2 linked regions of the Caenorhabditis elegans genome follow. Changing the gene in region 1 together with any one later gene gives a genetic interaction. Each region holds a gene or a part of one and is shown in the gene's direction. Other genes may lie near its edges. The genes, in order: par-5 and ksr-1.

Region 1 (8,056 bases):
GGATAGTATTGAAAAATCAATTATTTTCTCCTCAAACTTATTACTGAAGATCAACTTTAAGAACAAAAAATGCAACAGTTCTCAGTTTTGGATAAAAATTAAACGACTCTTTTACGTCAAAATAGATTCATTCATTTTATGACAGGACGTTTCCTTGTTCAAACGATTTGTTAATTGGTCATTAAAACATACTTTTTTCCGCTGAGTTATATATAGGATGTAGAACTTAATGCCTTTTTCGAAAATAAGGATTCTACTGTAGCTCAATTTTTAATCTGAAATCGTGTTTTGAACATTTTAATTAAAGAAATAACAAATTAGGCACTTTTTGACTAATATCTGATTACCGTATATTCTCTATCAGTGCTGCATGTAACACTAATTTCCAGGCGCTTTTCGAATCCAGCACTATTAGAGACTGCAGTACTACTGGAGATGCAGCACTAATAAAGAATATATGGTAATTTGTGAAAAGTTTTCGAATAAAAAGTTTGAAAAAATTTCGACATCGGAAATTGTTTTCAAAACAAAAAAAAAACAAAAATTTTTAAGTATCATCAAAAATTTCTTACTATTAGATATTGCAGAAAAAAGTTGTATTTCCTGCTTGAATAAATTTCTAGCCAAATTCAATACTTTCGGTAAGGCAGCCCAACATTCTTTGGAGCTCTGAACAAAGAAACGTCCTATCATATTATTTACATATGCATCTTTTTTGAAAAAGTGAGTTAATGAGCAAAGTAAGTCAATGAGAGAGAATTAAATAAGTATTTGCCAACAAAAAAGCTTTTGAGGCAACATATGGTCTAAAAACCGTAAGTACAGTTTGTGCCATTTTCGTTTTCGTTTTCGTTTTCGTGTTTTAAAACGAAAATTTTCGTTTTCGTTTTCGAAAATGGAATTTCGAAAAAGTCCCAGCCCTGGTGGGAAAATGGGAAGATAAATATGAAGAAATGATTTGCCCCAAAAGATTTGGAAAATGATACTGTTCTAAAATTATATTTTTTCGAAATTTTTTTATTCGCAAAATTAAATTTTTGAATTGCCACTAGGGCTCACAGTGGTGAAGGTACACTCAAAACTTAGCAAATGACACTGTTTTTTTAGATGTCTTTTTTTAGATTTTCTAATGAAAACCATTTAGTGAAAAAGTTAGTTATCTATTCAGTTGAGGAATTAATAACTCAAAGTGATTCTGGGATGTATATACAATACTGCTGCATTTCTCACAACTTTATCTCGACCACCAATTTTTTTTGATGAAAAACCATCAACTAAAAAGTTGTACTTCAGATTAAAATAATCAACTTTGTAGTTGACAACTTTGCCATAAAATTTTTTCCACGGAGATGTAAGCATCCAAAGTGAACTCGATTTTGGAACATGTTCAACTATACCTCAGGTTTTTGACTGAAATTGTGTTCTGAACATCCAAAGTTTTTTTCAGAAAATTTAAATTTCCCGCCAAAATGTTTTTTATTCAGAAAATTTAAGTTTCCCGCCAAAAAAGTATTCTTCAGAAAAGTTGAATTTCCCGCCAAAATGTTTTTTAGAAAATTTGAATTTCCCGCTAAAATGACTTTTTCAGAAAATTTAAACTTCCCGCCAAAATTATTCTCAGGAAATTTGAATTTTTCGCCAGAAGGTCTCACCACGATGTGTCTACAGTATAAAATCTACAGTAATCCTACAGTACTCCTACAGTACCTCTACAGTACCTCTACAGTACTACTACAGCACCCCGACCATGTCACTCCATTAACCCTAAACCAATATCCCTTTACCAACCGTGGACCGCACCTCCGGCGCGGCCCCCGACTTCTGGAGCTGAAAAGTAATTTTTCTGAAACTACCGTAATCATACAGTACTCCTACCGTATCACTATTGTAATACTACAGTACTCCGATTATATCTGTACACTAACCCCAACTCACAATCCCTCCAGAAGCTAAAACTTCGCAGACTATAAAGACTACATACAAACTATGAACAAACGGAATAAGCGCTTTGTATATATAGTAAATGATAATCCAAAACTTTGCACACTACAAAGCCTGCATACACTACAAACTCCGGAGTCCGGACAGACTAACTGTATTTTTTTAAAATATAAGCAATAATGATGCTGAGCATCAAAGGGATTGAGCCATCGTTAGGGATTGAGCGTTCAAGTGAAGGAGCACGCTAGTAAATGAGGGTTTGCCCCGAACCGACGCCACCCACCGAAGAAGACGACCTGGACTTCAAGTCCTCTCCACCCTCATTACCACCATCACTCGCTCCTACTTCAAAAAATGAATGCGTTTCAGCATATTCCCTTGTTTTCTCAAGAAAAAATCATAAGAAACATGTTTTTTCACTGCGAAAAAAAATTGAATATCCAGAAAAATTTCAATTATCAGCCTCTTCTCCTTCTTTTCCGTCGACACGCTGCTCGTGAGTACTCTTCAATAGATCGTAAAGTGTACGAGCACGTTTCAAGTTCGAGATATCGTACGAATCCAGTGAGCTCTTCATCTTCTCCAATTCGCGATGAGCACTATCAAGAGCACTCTGTGCAATTTCGTTGGCTTCTTTGGGAAGATTCAGGACATCGAAGTTTAAGGCGCTTGCATTGAGGGCAAGTCCAAGGCGAATTGGGTGAGTTGGCTGCATCTTGTCCTTAGCGATACCAAGAGCCTCCTGAAAGTCATTTCATTTACATCAAGAATTTAGTTATTCAAATACCTGATAAGCGATTCGCGACTTGTGTGCATGCTCTTCTCTGTTGATATCGTCGTATTGGACCAGATACCTAAAATGGTCGGCGACCATGCCACCGAAGAGAGCCTTAGTTTCATCATTTAGCGCATAGTCTCAAGCCAAACAGGCGGGGCAGTTCAAAAATAGTTTGATATATAGTTTGATATAGTTTGATGAATAGTGGCGTGGAGTACGGTTTCGCGGCAATTCAAATACTACTATTCTTGAGACCAGACGAATCGGACGATTAACGGCGGCGAGGGATTCGGATCGGGGGAACCCAATCTGTGGGACGGGCCACGCCCACGATCAAATTTTGCAACCTCCGCACGGTTCTATGGGCGTGGCCAATCCCCCGATGTCAACAAATTTTAAAAAAAACCTTCCCCGATTTTATAAATATTTCAGCTTGAAATCGCGATGTTCATTTGCGAACTCGAGGCATTTTCGAAACGTTAAATGTTCCCGCGCAATAATGCTCCGCTGAACAGTGCACGCTTTTTGTGTAGATTCATTTAAATATTCATTTTCCGTCAGATTTCATGTAGAAACCCAAAGATTCGCTCATTTCGCTGCTCGATCTTTTCTTTTTCTTCATTCAACCGTATATTATATGCATTTTTCGTTTAAACGTTTTTCAAAAATTTTTAAAAATTGCTTACAATCTTCTTTGTAAAAAGAATATATTTTGCAACCAATTTTTTCGATTCTCCATGGAAAACTTATCAATTTAAACTGCATTCACTGTTACACTGATAATGCTTTGAACGACGGCGGTCGGAGAACTTCCAACCGATTACTGTTCTCCAATTTCATGTTTCTAGAAAAAAAGAAATTTCTGTCGTTTCATAACATGTTTTAACACGCAGAGCCTTTTTTTTTCGAATGAACCGCCATTTTCTTTAAAGGCGCAAGCTATTCCCTCTGCGCGATATTTCGCCGCGAAAAAAGAAGCCCCGCGAAAAAACGTATTCGAACCGCGGAATTTCCGCGAATTTGTTGCTGGTTTCTTCTAGAATTCAACGATTCAATGCTCATTTCATCACAATTTTTTTTTGTAAAATTATCCTTCTCGCTTTTATGCTCCTCTTGCCCTCAATTTTCTGTCTAAAAGCTATCATTTCCTCTGATTTCTTCCTCGATTTTCAAATGTTGGCCCAAAATAGTGATTTTTTCTTTAATTATATCCTAATCCCCACCAACACGATTTAGCAATTCTCGAAAATTATTTTTTTGCGTTGTTCAGGTAAAAGTCCTGACGAAACCTCCTGAGTTTTGTGTAACGTGCTCACCGAAAGATTAGTGTGCTTGCTGCGCCCGTTGTCACCACTGCCATTCATCCTTCTATTCCCGTGTTTTCTTATCAAATGCCCAAAAAATCTGAAATTTTTTGTGTAGACAATGCTATATATGAGGAGCGAATGTGTGCGCCAGAGAAAAAGACGGACAGACACAAATTGAGTGAGTGTGCGTTGCCCACTTTAGTTGTTGTCATGCGACGGCGGCGGCACGCGCTCTCTCATCGGCCGGCACTGCTGTCCATCGATTTTTCTTCTTTCAAACGTCGTGCGGGCTGTTTCGAATGTTCTAGGGCTCTCCGTTTCGATTATTACTCTCGCCTATGTTCTTCTCTTTTCGTTCTCAATATTTCATTATAAATTTTGTTTCAGAAGACTTGCTCACTGAAAAAATGTCCGATACCGTGGAAGAGCTCGTTCAACGCGCCAAGCTTGCCGAACAAGCCGAGCGATACGATGATATGGCTGCCGCCATGAAGAAAGTAAGATAAAACATCATTTACGGAGGTTTCAAATTTACTATTTTTCAGGTGACCGAGCAGGGACAGGAGCTTTCCAACGAAGAGCGTAACCTTCTCTCTGTTGCCTACAAAAACGTCGTCGGAGCTCGCCGTTCATCGTGGAGAGTTATCTCTTCCATTGAGCAAAAGACCGAGGGATCCGAGAAGAAGCAACAACTCGCCAAGGAATACCGCGTCAAGGTAACTACACCAAGCAAGATTTTATTAATTTCAAGAATTTTAGTAACTTATTTACATTATTTCAGGTTGAGCAAGAACTCAACGACATCTGCCAAGATGTGCTCAAGCTCCTCGACGAGTTCCTCATTGTCAAGGCTGGAGCTGCTGAGTCGAAGGTCTTCTATCTCAAGATGAAAGGAGATTACTACAGATACCTCGCCGAGGTCGCTTCAGAGGATCGCGCTGCCGTTGTTGAGAAGTCCCAGAAGGCTTACCAGGTATTTGAAAATAACTAAATTCTTGATGTAAATGGCATGACTTTCAGGAGGCTCTTGATATCGCTAAGGACAAGATGCAGCCAACCCACCCAATTCGCCTTGGACTTGCCCTCAACTTCTCTGTCTTCTACTACGAGATCTTGAACACTCCAGAGCACGCTTGCCAACTCGCGAAACAGGCTTTCGATGATGCTATTGCTGAGCTCGACACGTTGAACGAGGATTCGTACAAGGACTCGACCTTGATCATGCAACTTCTACGTGACAATCTCACTCTCTGGACATCTGACGTTGGAGCTGAAGATCAAGAGCAGGAGGGAAACCAGGAAGCTGGAAACTAAGTACGATTTCAAAATGTTTTATTGCCATTATATAAAGCTGACCTTTTTCCTCTTTTCCTTTCACATCAAATCTTGCTTCGAAAAAATAGTTTCGGTTTTCAGAGAGCTGAACTCCGTTCTCTTTCCTCGCATCTCTTCAACTTTCAGTTATCCTCCAACATTTCCGGTACGTTAGCCGAGAGAGTTGCCTAATCACCGTTTTTGTTTTAGACTTAACGTATTCACCAATACTCCATACAACACTGCGCAATAGCATCATGAAAGAAAATTCGGTCTTCAAGTGCTCTAGATCTCCAAGCCATAATTCTCTTCATGCTCTATTTCGCTGTAATTCACTCCGTCACTATTGTCATTCCTAAAATGGCGTATTGTTCTATGATTATTATGTGCTGTAAAGTATAATGAACCCCCATCTTCCATTTTTCTCTTATTATCCCCGATCTTTATTTTTAGATCTTTTTGAACATAAATGTTTGGTGAACTTTTCCGGTTGTCCGAATTTCATCACAACTTTCCAGGAGTTTTTCGAGTAATGGAATGGAATTTATTTTCAGATTTCGATGAAGGAGCATAAATAGGATAAAACATTTGCATTAACCTCTTAGAAGGTCTCAACACGAAAAATTAAATGAAATGTGAAAAAGTGTGCGCCTTTAAGCTGCCGAAAATTTTTTGATAGTTTCTTCCACGATTCGTTAAAAATTAAGTGTTTTATGGTAACATTTGAGTGTTCTTTTGAAAATAAATATATTCTTTGTCGAAAAACTATGAAACATCGATAAAAATTCCGCAGCAATAGAAGTTTAAAATTACAGTACTCTTTAAAGACTCACACCTTTTTGCGTTCAACAAATATTAGACGTGTCGAGACTAAGTACCGTACTTTTGGCGCAAAAAGCTCAAAATTTCGCTCCTGGGCAATATAATTTTCGGAAAAAAACTTAATTCTGGAGACTTCATGTGTTTTCACAGATCATGACGAGACCGATTGAGAAACATTTGGAAATACATTTTTCTTCAATATATCTTCAAAGTGGCCGATTGTATGTGATCATACGGAATAACGATGGATGTGTTTTGTGCTTTTCGGCAGATTTCGAGCTTTTGAGCCAACAATTTTCAGCGTTGTGGATGAAAAAACATGTCACGTTGTTTAATCAATTTAAAATCTTTAAAATGTAATGACTATTTTTATGGACTGCGCAGTTGCCCCATGTTGAAAAAAGATGTCAATTGCAATTACATTTTATTTTCCGTATAAGTTAAATTCAATAACCCAAAGTTCAAAAAAGTACTATTTATGAGTATTATCACGTGGTGTCAGAATGTCCCATGTCGGTTTGAACTTCGAAATATGCGGGAGTTGAGACGTAGACTGACGTCACATTTTTCTGAGAAAAAGTTATCCGCATTTTTGTAGATCATACCGTTATGGGGCAACCTGACACCACGTGTCTTATTCGAGATCCATATTTGAGTGAACACCCGGATAAGCTGGTAATCGTCTTTTCTTTTCAATTATGTGAACACTGATATGAATAATTTATTAAATAATTAATTGATTGAAGTTTCGCAGGGAAGCTGAGGCTTGCTGAGCTCTAATTCAGCGTTCAACACAAAGTCGGCTGGTTCTGAACGAGCTAGGAGAACATAGACTGTGTTGGCTACTGTAAGTGTTAAAGCATGGATCAGGAAGTAGCTGGTCCATGAGAGTTCAGCTGAAAGTGTTGAAAAAGGTTTAGTTTAGAAAGAGAATGAATTGATACTTACAATCTTCACTTCCCGGAAGCACAAGAAGAGAAAAAAGAACAGGTTCGAGCAGTGTTGCTAACGATTTGAACAATTGAATATACCCGATGACAAAGTAAGAGAATTGTCTGAAAATGTTCATTCTTGAAATTTCAAATTAATTTTTAAATCGCCTTACCTTGATATCAAAGCGGCGCCCTTATAGAATCCTCCACAATTGAACCCGAATGAAGCCTGATAGAAAGTGATGCAGATGACGTGTAGATATGGATGCTCGCGTGGCAGCAAGACTACGAGCATGAGAAAAAACGCGGGTACTTGCAATGAGATCGTGTTGAATAACCGCAACTTTGACTTTTCCGGCAGTGTACGAATACGATCGGACGCGATACCGGCGAATACTCGAACACCGATGAATAGATAACCTTTCATGGAATTCAGCCATGCATTAGCCTGGAAATTCACAAAATTGAGGGCAAATATCGGTGCAATATCGGTCTTTATTGCAATTTCGTGAAATTTTGACATGGCACTTTAAAGGCACACGCTGTTTTTCTCAGTGGGTCTCGCCACGCTCTCAACCATTGTAGTCGCTACAGGTACCAAATGTCATAGAATTGTTCATTGGATGTGGAAAATTAAGTTTGCCCCGACGTGCCTGAACACAAATTTACCTGAATATCCATTCCGAGGTATTGATAGTATTGTGCACCATATACAAGAAATACAAAACTGGCAAAAATATCGGCGAACCCGGCAACCCACACGGCCCAAACTGACTTGTCGGTGAGAACTTCTCGATACGGAGTCTTTTTTGTCTTATCTCTCTTGGTTCCTCCACCAATGTGTTGAAGCTCGTGATGTGTCATTAGGCAATGATCTTCCGGATCGTCACGATAGAACAAGAACCAGATGATTGTTGAGATGAAGAGAATTATTGAGAGAATATAATAGATAGGTCGCCAGC
Region 2 (8,056 bases), on another chromosome or scaffold:
CAAAGTTTTGGAGTTAGGTACAGTTAGTTTCTTTTTCATTTGAACGTGCATTTTGAAAAGTGGTGGCCAAAAACATATACACATTTTCTTTATTTTTCTATAAATTAACAGTTTGAACCAATTAAATAAAGAATTTTTTGCTCTCACTCACCCATAATAACATCCAAAAAATAAACATATTCTGATCTCTTTGGTACCTAGGGACTCCTACTTGATGTTGCGTCTAAATAAAAAGAAATGTGTACAGGAAGCAAGAGAAAGAAAGGCAAAGAATGCAAAATGGTGAGGTAGGAGGTATAATTACAGTAATATAGGTTAGGCGAGCCAGTCTTCACGCCGAGAATAAAAAGAGAAAGAGGACATAGAAGGATAGAAGACGCGGTCTTTTCTCCGAGAGCGTTTACGACGACAGACGGTAAGCGATCAGAGAAGGAAGGGCTTAGCAACGTCTTCTCTCTTTTCTGTTTCACCTTAGGAAATGAGAGGGATGGAGGTAGGAGAGACGTTGACCTTCTAGGTTCTCAAGATTTTCAATTTTCTTTCCATCTTGTTTAAATCCCGAATAATCGCCTTAATCTGCATGTTCCTGGTGGTTTTGGAAAAACAGCTCGAGTTGTCGCAACAAAAGTGATTAGGGTCAGATCATGAAAAGAATCTTGAACTAAATCCGAAGGGATGATCACTTTTTGATGTCATGAGCGTTTTAGCGGGGTGCGCGACAGACTGAAAAACATTTGAAGACATATAATAACAGTGGGGATTTTGGATCTTTCCAAATTTTTGAGAAGCTATGCACCTGGCAATACTTACATGCTTTCAGATAAATACATGTTCTGATCTAAATCTAGACTAGTTGGGCTTCTTGGATTATGAAGTTGGCAAAGTGCATGATGAGGCAAGCATATGAGTGGACTAAATTTTTAGAAGTTCTATATAAACTATTTTCATAAATCTCCAAATTTAAGTTTGTAAAATATACATTCGTTAAAAATGTGTATGTTTTTCGTTCAGCCTGGTTTTATCCAGATCACACGTATTATCTTCATTTTTAATAATAACAAATTAAGAACATTTTCCTAATTTTTTAAATCAACGGTTAGTAATGTTTCCAGCTTAATGTTTATTTATGTCTAATCTCATCGTTTTGCAAAAATTGGTTACTTATGGGTTTCGTTTCCCCAGAATGTTTTCAAACCTTGTAACGCCCAAAATTCCAATTTTACAATAATGTTCAAACACAACAAAGCTTCAGAATAATGTAAAGCTTCAGAATAATTTTCCATTTGCAGTTTTCAGAACAATTTTTCAGAATTCTTATTTTCAGTTTATTTTTGCATATCCCATTTTTGTCTTTTTTTGCTTTTACAAATGCAGTAAAAAACAACTGAACATTGCTTAATGCCCTTATATGAATAAAATATTAAAGTATCAACTTTCCTTATTATTTGGGATTCTGATCTCAGCCTGTAAGCAACCTCCCGCATTTTTTTGTTATTCAGAATATGAAATGACCAAATTGCTCTCTTACAAAATACTCAATTCAACATTCAAATTCAAAATGAGTTCAATGTTTCATTAAAGCTCAATATCACATTCTCATATAAAATGTACACAATACACGCACACAATAGACTTCTGGTAGCGGCAACCACTTTGAGTGCACGTTTCCGGCCAAAATGGCATGGATTTCTGAAACTGGAGCCAACGAAATAGGAATGCATTCTCTTAGGCTTTCCACCTTTTGTTCGCTCAATGTTCTGATTTGAGATCGCAATTCAATTTGGTTAGTTATCGCGACTGTGTCATGAGGAAATCATGCAAAAATAATAATAAGGAACTCATGAGTTCATATTTTTTAGAATTGGACACATTTTTTCACAGCGGAATTCCGGAGGACGAAAGCTTATTTATTCATTAATAGAAAGTGTTCAATTATGTTAAAGCTATTTTAATTTTCAAGTAGTATTTTGAAAGCAGAAATTCACAACGTTTTTTGAAACTTTAAAAGAAAATATGATCATATTTTCCTAACAAGAAGGATCTATGGTAGTTCAAAATTTTGAAGAGAAAAGTCAAAATCTACATCATATCTTGTTATGTCATTCTTATGTGTTACAGGGGCTCAAAATCAGTTTAACCTAATTTTCACTCTTTATTGCATATATTAGTTGTATATTTTGTGTTTTCTTTTTTTCTATTAGTGTTCCGCTCAATTACTTTATTTTGACAAGTTATGTCTTGAATCGATTTCTAGTTTTCCGAAAATGGACAATTAAAAGTATGTAGATAAAGATACTGTACATTTTTGTTTGATAACAATTTTCCATAAAATTAAAAAATAAACAAGCTATGGGTTTCCAAATGTAAACAGACTGAGACAATACTAATAGAGAAAACAGGAGAATTTTAGTAAATGTCCATTCGAAAAACCGAAATTGGTTGCCTGTCAATGCACATCCAAATTCACGTCTTTTATCATAAAATTTGTAATAAAGGACTAAAATCAATGAATAGTGATAGTTCAACAAAAAATGTTTGTTGTCCGCTGCGACGCGTATAAATTTGTAAACTTTAAATTTTTCTGCTAAATACAATCGGTTTTCATTTTAAACAGCATTTTTTGAGAAGTCTCTTTTTAAAACACAGTCTAAACATTTTGGTCCATTAGTCGTCTTTTAAAACGTAATTGCTATTACTTCAGTACTTATATTTTACCCTAATTTTTGGCTAACTTTACCATAGTTTTTGGCACGTTCAACAAACTACCCATAATTACTTTCAAAATTTTCATCGAGCAGGAACAACATTTTTAATGTTGACTTTGCCGAGATGTTACACTAAATTAGTTGTGATCTGCCAGCAAACCAGGAACTAAAAGCTTGTTCAATGCATTCCTGGTATGAATCTTGACCTACTCTTAAGTTGATTACGCAACATTTTGAACACCTGTTGTGGTCTTCTCATTGCGGACCATTTTCTCTCACCCCATAGACATACAGTCTCCTCTCTCTCTTATTCATACACTATTCCCCCCATCCTCCCGTCTTCCCGACATTTTTGCGTCCTTTCCTACTATTCCTACTGTCAATCCACACCGTTCTCCCCTTTTCTCTTCATCACGTTCAAACAGTTTGTTTGCTTGCACGCCGATCTTTCTTCCTCTTTCTCTTTCCACAACTCTCAGCATTCTAGCATTATTTTCTCCAATATATTGAACAGTATTTGAATGCAACGTTTCTTTTAACTTCCGACCAAAGCCTTATGGCAATTTTTTCTCACAACTACTCTTTTCGGTCGGCATTGCTTAATTTTTAAGCGCCATACTGTTGTTCGGTATTTCATGTGAAAGCGAAAAATTAAAAAAGAAAGAAAAGTTAAGCTTCCTAATTTTTGTATTTGTGGTAGTTTTAATACGCAAAGCTAGGAAAATGTAAAACTCAAATTGATAAACTATAATTACTTAGGAGTGATGATAAAGGATAATCGATTTTTTAAGTGAAATAGTTGAATATTTCTACTCAATAAAAAAACACATTTAATATTGGTAGAGTACAATTATTGGATTTGGAACAGTATTCTAATTAAAGAAACAAAAGAAGCCAAAATAAAAGTAGAATGCCATTGAAAAAAATCGGGACATTGTGATGTAATAAGTCTAATCTAACCACCGGAAAAGAAAATGTGGTCGAAAATACCAATTCTTCTTTTCTTCTCGTCACTTCTAAATTGAGTAATGTACATAACCTGTCTCATAATTGTTCGCCACGCAACCTTCACAATTTCGATGGCAGAAAGCCGCCGAAAGCTTTTAATTTACTTTCCGGACGATTTCGACTTTTCTAGAAGGTTAATACACACCTTTTTTGAGTAGATGATGTTGTAATAGTAAACAAACTGTAAGCATACTTATATTGGTCATCGCAATTTGACTTTGAATTGTAAACATCCAATTGTGATGGAATTTGTAGGAAGAAAATATTGTAGATTTTACTAACTCATGAATTGAAATTTCTGACTGTACTGTGGGGCATACACATATTTTCTCTAATTGTCTTGCTCCCTTACAGTACGAATGCAAACCATACTAACAGAAAAAACTCGGCACTTTTCAATATTACTTGCTCGTTTGCTTTTCTAGTCATTTAACGCCTTTCTAAAGCACCAAATACATTCGTATTGCCCTGCTCCCACTACCACACATACATAAACGAAGGATGAGCTCACAGGGAGCCATTTGATAATTGCGACGACACACACACATACACAAAATGAGAAACCAAGCAAAAAAGAGTGTGGCGCACGTGTGAGCTCACAGCGTGCTCCGTTTGCACCGGGGATTTCCAAAAGTTGACCAAAAACCAGCACTGTTTTTTCTTGGCAACCTTTTGAACGTTGTGCTCAACCAACGAAAGATTTATTTCAGGGAAAAGATCCGGAGAAGGTAAAAACTAACCAATAATATCAATACACAGAATGATGCAAACCCAAGTTGCATCACGTGCGGGATACAGTAATCTACCGCAGTTTGGTGCAGGAATCGCACAGGATATAAAGACACAGGCTATAAATAATTTGAAGGGTTAGTAAAAAAAATTTAAAAAAAAACAATTCGAAGTTGCAGAATGTTTGAAACTTACCACTATCAATCGATTTTTGACTTCATCATACGAAGAAGATGCAAAAAGTGTAGAAGTAAGTTTTTTTGAAAAAAAAACAACTTTTGTAAAAATTCAAACTTCTCCTATTCGTGAGCATCGTTGTTTTATAAACTGTAAATAAATGAATTCAAGACAGACTAGTCTTCATTCAGCAGAAAAAATTTTTAAGATGCTTTAAAGTTTTGTTCATAAAATACACTATACATATATTGACACCTCAGTCCAAATTGTTTTAGATCTTTGTGGTAAACCAATCTGTGGTACTAAACGTTTTTCTAGACGTTTTCCGTTTATACTGTAAAGTTTATTTGTATAATTAAATTCTATAATGGTATTTTGATAATAAATTTAAAAAATTAAAAATTTAGATGCACAACTTCGTGCATGAAACGCTAATCGTTATATTTGAAAAACTGAAACTTACTTTCAAACAAATGTTGATTTTCAAATGTTTTAAATTTAGTGAGTTTATGATATTTTGAATATGAAAAAATATCAAAATATCAAAGCTTTTAAAAAATAGATTTAAAAACTTTAAGTGAATGTAACTCTTTTTTTCTACGAATTTTAGTAATCAAGATATCAGAGACAGATGAAAAGGTGAAACAACCTGAAACAAATGGTCTGAAATCTTTCATTGACGTCAACTAAATTCCAATGATTCTCAATTTACAGCGCAAAATATTCTCGGCCGTTTATCAAATGACAAAAATTGGTTTGATTGATCGCGAGAAGCGTGAGATCAACGCCATTTGGTTCACATTTGTCGGGCTCAGCGCACAAAACATTCGGCACTTGGAGATTTGCTCGATCACCGATTTCAATGCTCTGTTCAGCATCACTAACCAAGAGGTTTGATCCTTCTCTTTTTTGCTCTACCTTTTCTCTCTTTTCTCACACATCATTTCCTGATTTTACACCTAACAGAAACATACAAACACTCACAAATCGGGTTCTAGGCATATCTATATCCTTCTAAATGTCTTTCTGCTGATTCGGGTCACAACCTTCAACATTATCGTTTTATTCTTAAACTTCTTTTCATTTCCCTCTACGCTTCCCATTGGTTTGGGGTGTTTGGGAGTGCGCTTTGACGCTCTTTCCCTCTCGTTTTTCCGTTTCTGTTTCCGTCTCTTCTTTCTTTCTTTTCACCTTCTACTTTCTGCATTTCTCTCCTTTCCTTTCCCACTCTTCTCTTTCTCTAGAGGCCAGAAAACTGCAGCTCTCTCCGTTTTTTTCCTGATTTTTGTGAGCTAATTTGTTATCCAAAAAAAGAAGAGTAAACAGAAAAAGAGGATTAGGTTAATTGTTACCTATTGATATTCTGCTCATTGTTGTTTTTTAAGACTCACGAACTTTCTCTCAGCTAGCACATGCATAAGTCATGTATCTGACTGATTTTTATCATCTCATTTCGTAATTGTTTGAATTTGAGTTTCGACTTTTCATTTAGTCATTTTGCAGCAGGAAGTGTTTTTCGAAATGAAATTTGTCTTACTTTTATCTGACAAATCAACTAGTTTGGTAATTTTTCAGATTTAAAAATTTCCTTTTTTTCATTGAAGATTTTTTTAAAACTTGATTTGTCAAATTTTTTAAGATAACTTTACCATTTAATTTACAACAACATTGAACAAATCAATTGTTAAATTTGAATTCGAAACAAAACTTGAAAACTTCAAGTGGCCTTTCATATGATAATTGGCCAAAATATTAGAGTTGATTTTGAATGAATGTTTTTTGTGAGAACAACTATGCTGAAGCATTTCTGGAACATTCATTGTTTTTAGCGATCCAAAGCATACACGTTTTTGTTTTTTTGCATTGCCTCCGTATACTCGGTAACGTCATTCGTGTTCCAACAACACCTGTTACATTTCTACGAGTTGTTTTCACTCTTGTCTGCATGTTATCAAACTTCTATTGCTCGTTTCATTACTTTTAACCGAGTTTCTCTGTGCTCCGCCTTCTGAACATTTGAACCCAAACATAAAAGTTTATTTCAGTTGCGATCGCTTGCGGATCGTGGTCGTCTTGATGTGGAGACCAAACGAAAGTTGCTTCAATCTACAGTGATTTTACAAAATCACTGGAACGGTAAGTGTGCGGCAATTTGAAAATTTGTATTAAGTAAAATGTAGAAGAAAATAATTCTTGCCACGAAAATTTTGCAACTGTTATTTTTTGAAAATGTTCTCAAAATTCCTTACTTTTCTAGTTATTTTCATAAAAATTTATAGTCTCAAAACCAGTAATTTGACATTTTTTAATCAAACTTTAAAATTTAACTTTAATCAATCCCGAGATGGTAACTGCAAAATTAAAAAAAAACAAGACGGTTTTTATTAAAACAATTTTGAAGCATATTTTATACTGAGTTTGCTCCACTTCTTGAAAATTTAAATCACTGTCAAATGTTCAAACCCCATACATTTTAAAATTTGAATATTTTGAATGTAATTGAAATAAAAAATGGAAAATTTTATGATGGAGGACTTCCGCAAAAACTGGTGACCATTTAGTATTGAGCTTTTTGATTTTAAATAAAAAAAACTTTCCAAAGTTTTTGGAATAATTTTATTATGGTATATTTGATTATTTTTGTACCATAGGAATGGTTTTGAAAAACTTCCCCCGCAGATCGGAGTCCGCCTTCAAACGTCGTTTTCGGTTTATTTGTTAATTTTAGAATTAATACTTTAAGCAGCCTGAGAATTAAAAAATCAACCTTATTCTTTTATTCAAATTAAAATTTTTAAAATGTAGTGTAATGATACACATTGAACCAGCAAATTTGACATAGAAATACCGCACATCTTTCAAATGTTCTCTATGGTTCATCTACTTCGAAAAAATGTTGTGAAAATAATTTGTTCTTAGAATGAAACCTTTTCACAAAATGTTTATGGAATTGTTTTATTTTATTTAAAACATGTACAATTAATACAATTGATGTAATTTTGTCAGGAAAAGTGAATTAGATCATGTGATGTTTAATCATTCAGTTTTTGCAAACGTTCATGTAAATGATATACGGTATCAATTCAAAACAAACATCAGTTCATCTACATAAACTAAATCTCAATTATTTTTAGCGTATCACAGTCGCACATCAAGTGGATCCACTGACGAGCCGTCAGGACAGTCAACACCAGCAATTGTTACGCCAAGTCCGAAGTTTAACGTTCCTTCACTTTCAGTCACAAGTGCCAAAATGATTCAGTCATCTAGTATGGGATTTGGTTAGTTTTTGAACTTTCAAAAAATAGCAAACAAAAATTTTGCACTGCGGTTTTGCAATTATTCATTCTGAAGCAATTCTCGCAAGTGTCAAATGAAAACTTTATGAGACGCACATGTGACAAATGCTTAGCGTGAGAATATTAGTTAATAGTTGG

What was found.
Region 2: of par-5 (region 1) and ksr-1, changing one enhances a phenotype caused by changing the other (phenotypic enhancement), as found in Caenorhabditis elegans (one large-scale study listed by BioGRID).

What each region holds. Positions count from the first base shown.
Region 1 is NC_003282.8:11,818,275-11,826,330, reverse strand, and holds par-5 (14-3-3-like protein 1), read left to right. Parts: upstream 1-4,413; 5' UTR 4,414-4,433; coding exon 4,434-4,523; intron 4,524-4,571; coding exon 4,572-4,742; intron 4,743-4,807; coding exon 4,808-4,999; intron 5,000-5,046; coding exon 5,047-5,340; intron 5,341-5,442; 3' UTR 5,443-5,506; intron 5,507-5,550; 3' UTR 5,551-5,825; downstream 5,826-8,056. Other genes in the region: M117.3 (14-3-3 domain-containing protein), read right to left, coding at 2,393-2,683, 2,729-2,815; M117.1 (Major facilitator superfamily (MFS) profile domain-containing protein), read right to left, coding at 6,895-7,058, 7,111-7,217, 7,268-7,542, 7,764-8,056. UniProt on the Caenorhabditis elegans protein: Required to modulate lifespan, in concert with hcf-1, acting redundantly with 14-3-3-like protein ftt-2.
Region 2 is NC_003284.9:8,270,746-8,278,801, forward strand, and holds the start of ksr-1 (Kinase suppressor of Ras A), read left to right. Parts: upstream 1-4,423; 5' UTR 4,424-4,473; coding exon 4,474-4,579; intron 4,580-4,621; coding exon 4,622-4,692; intron 4,693-5,333; coding exon 5,334-5,510; intron 5,511-6,664; coding exon 6,665-6,755; intron 6,756-7,753; coding exon 7,754-7,900; intron 7,901-8,056. Other genes in the region: cutl-29 (ZP domain-containing protein), read right to left, coding at 152-178. UniProt on the Caenorhabditis elegans protein: Serine/threonine-protein kinase which positively regulates Ras-mediated signaling probably acting at the level of let-60/ras or/and lin-45/raf. Involved in sex myoblast migration.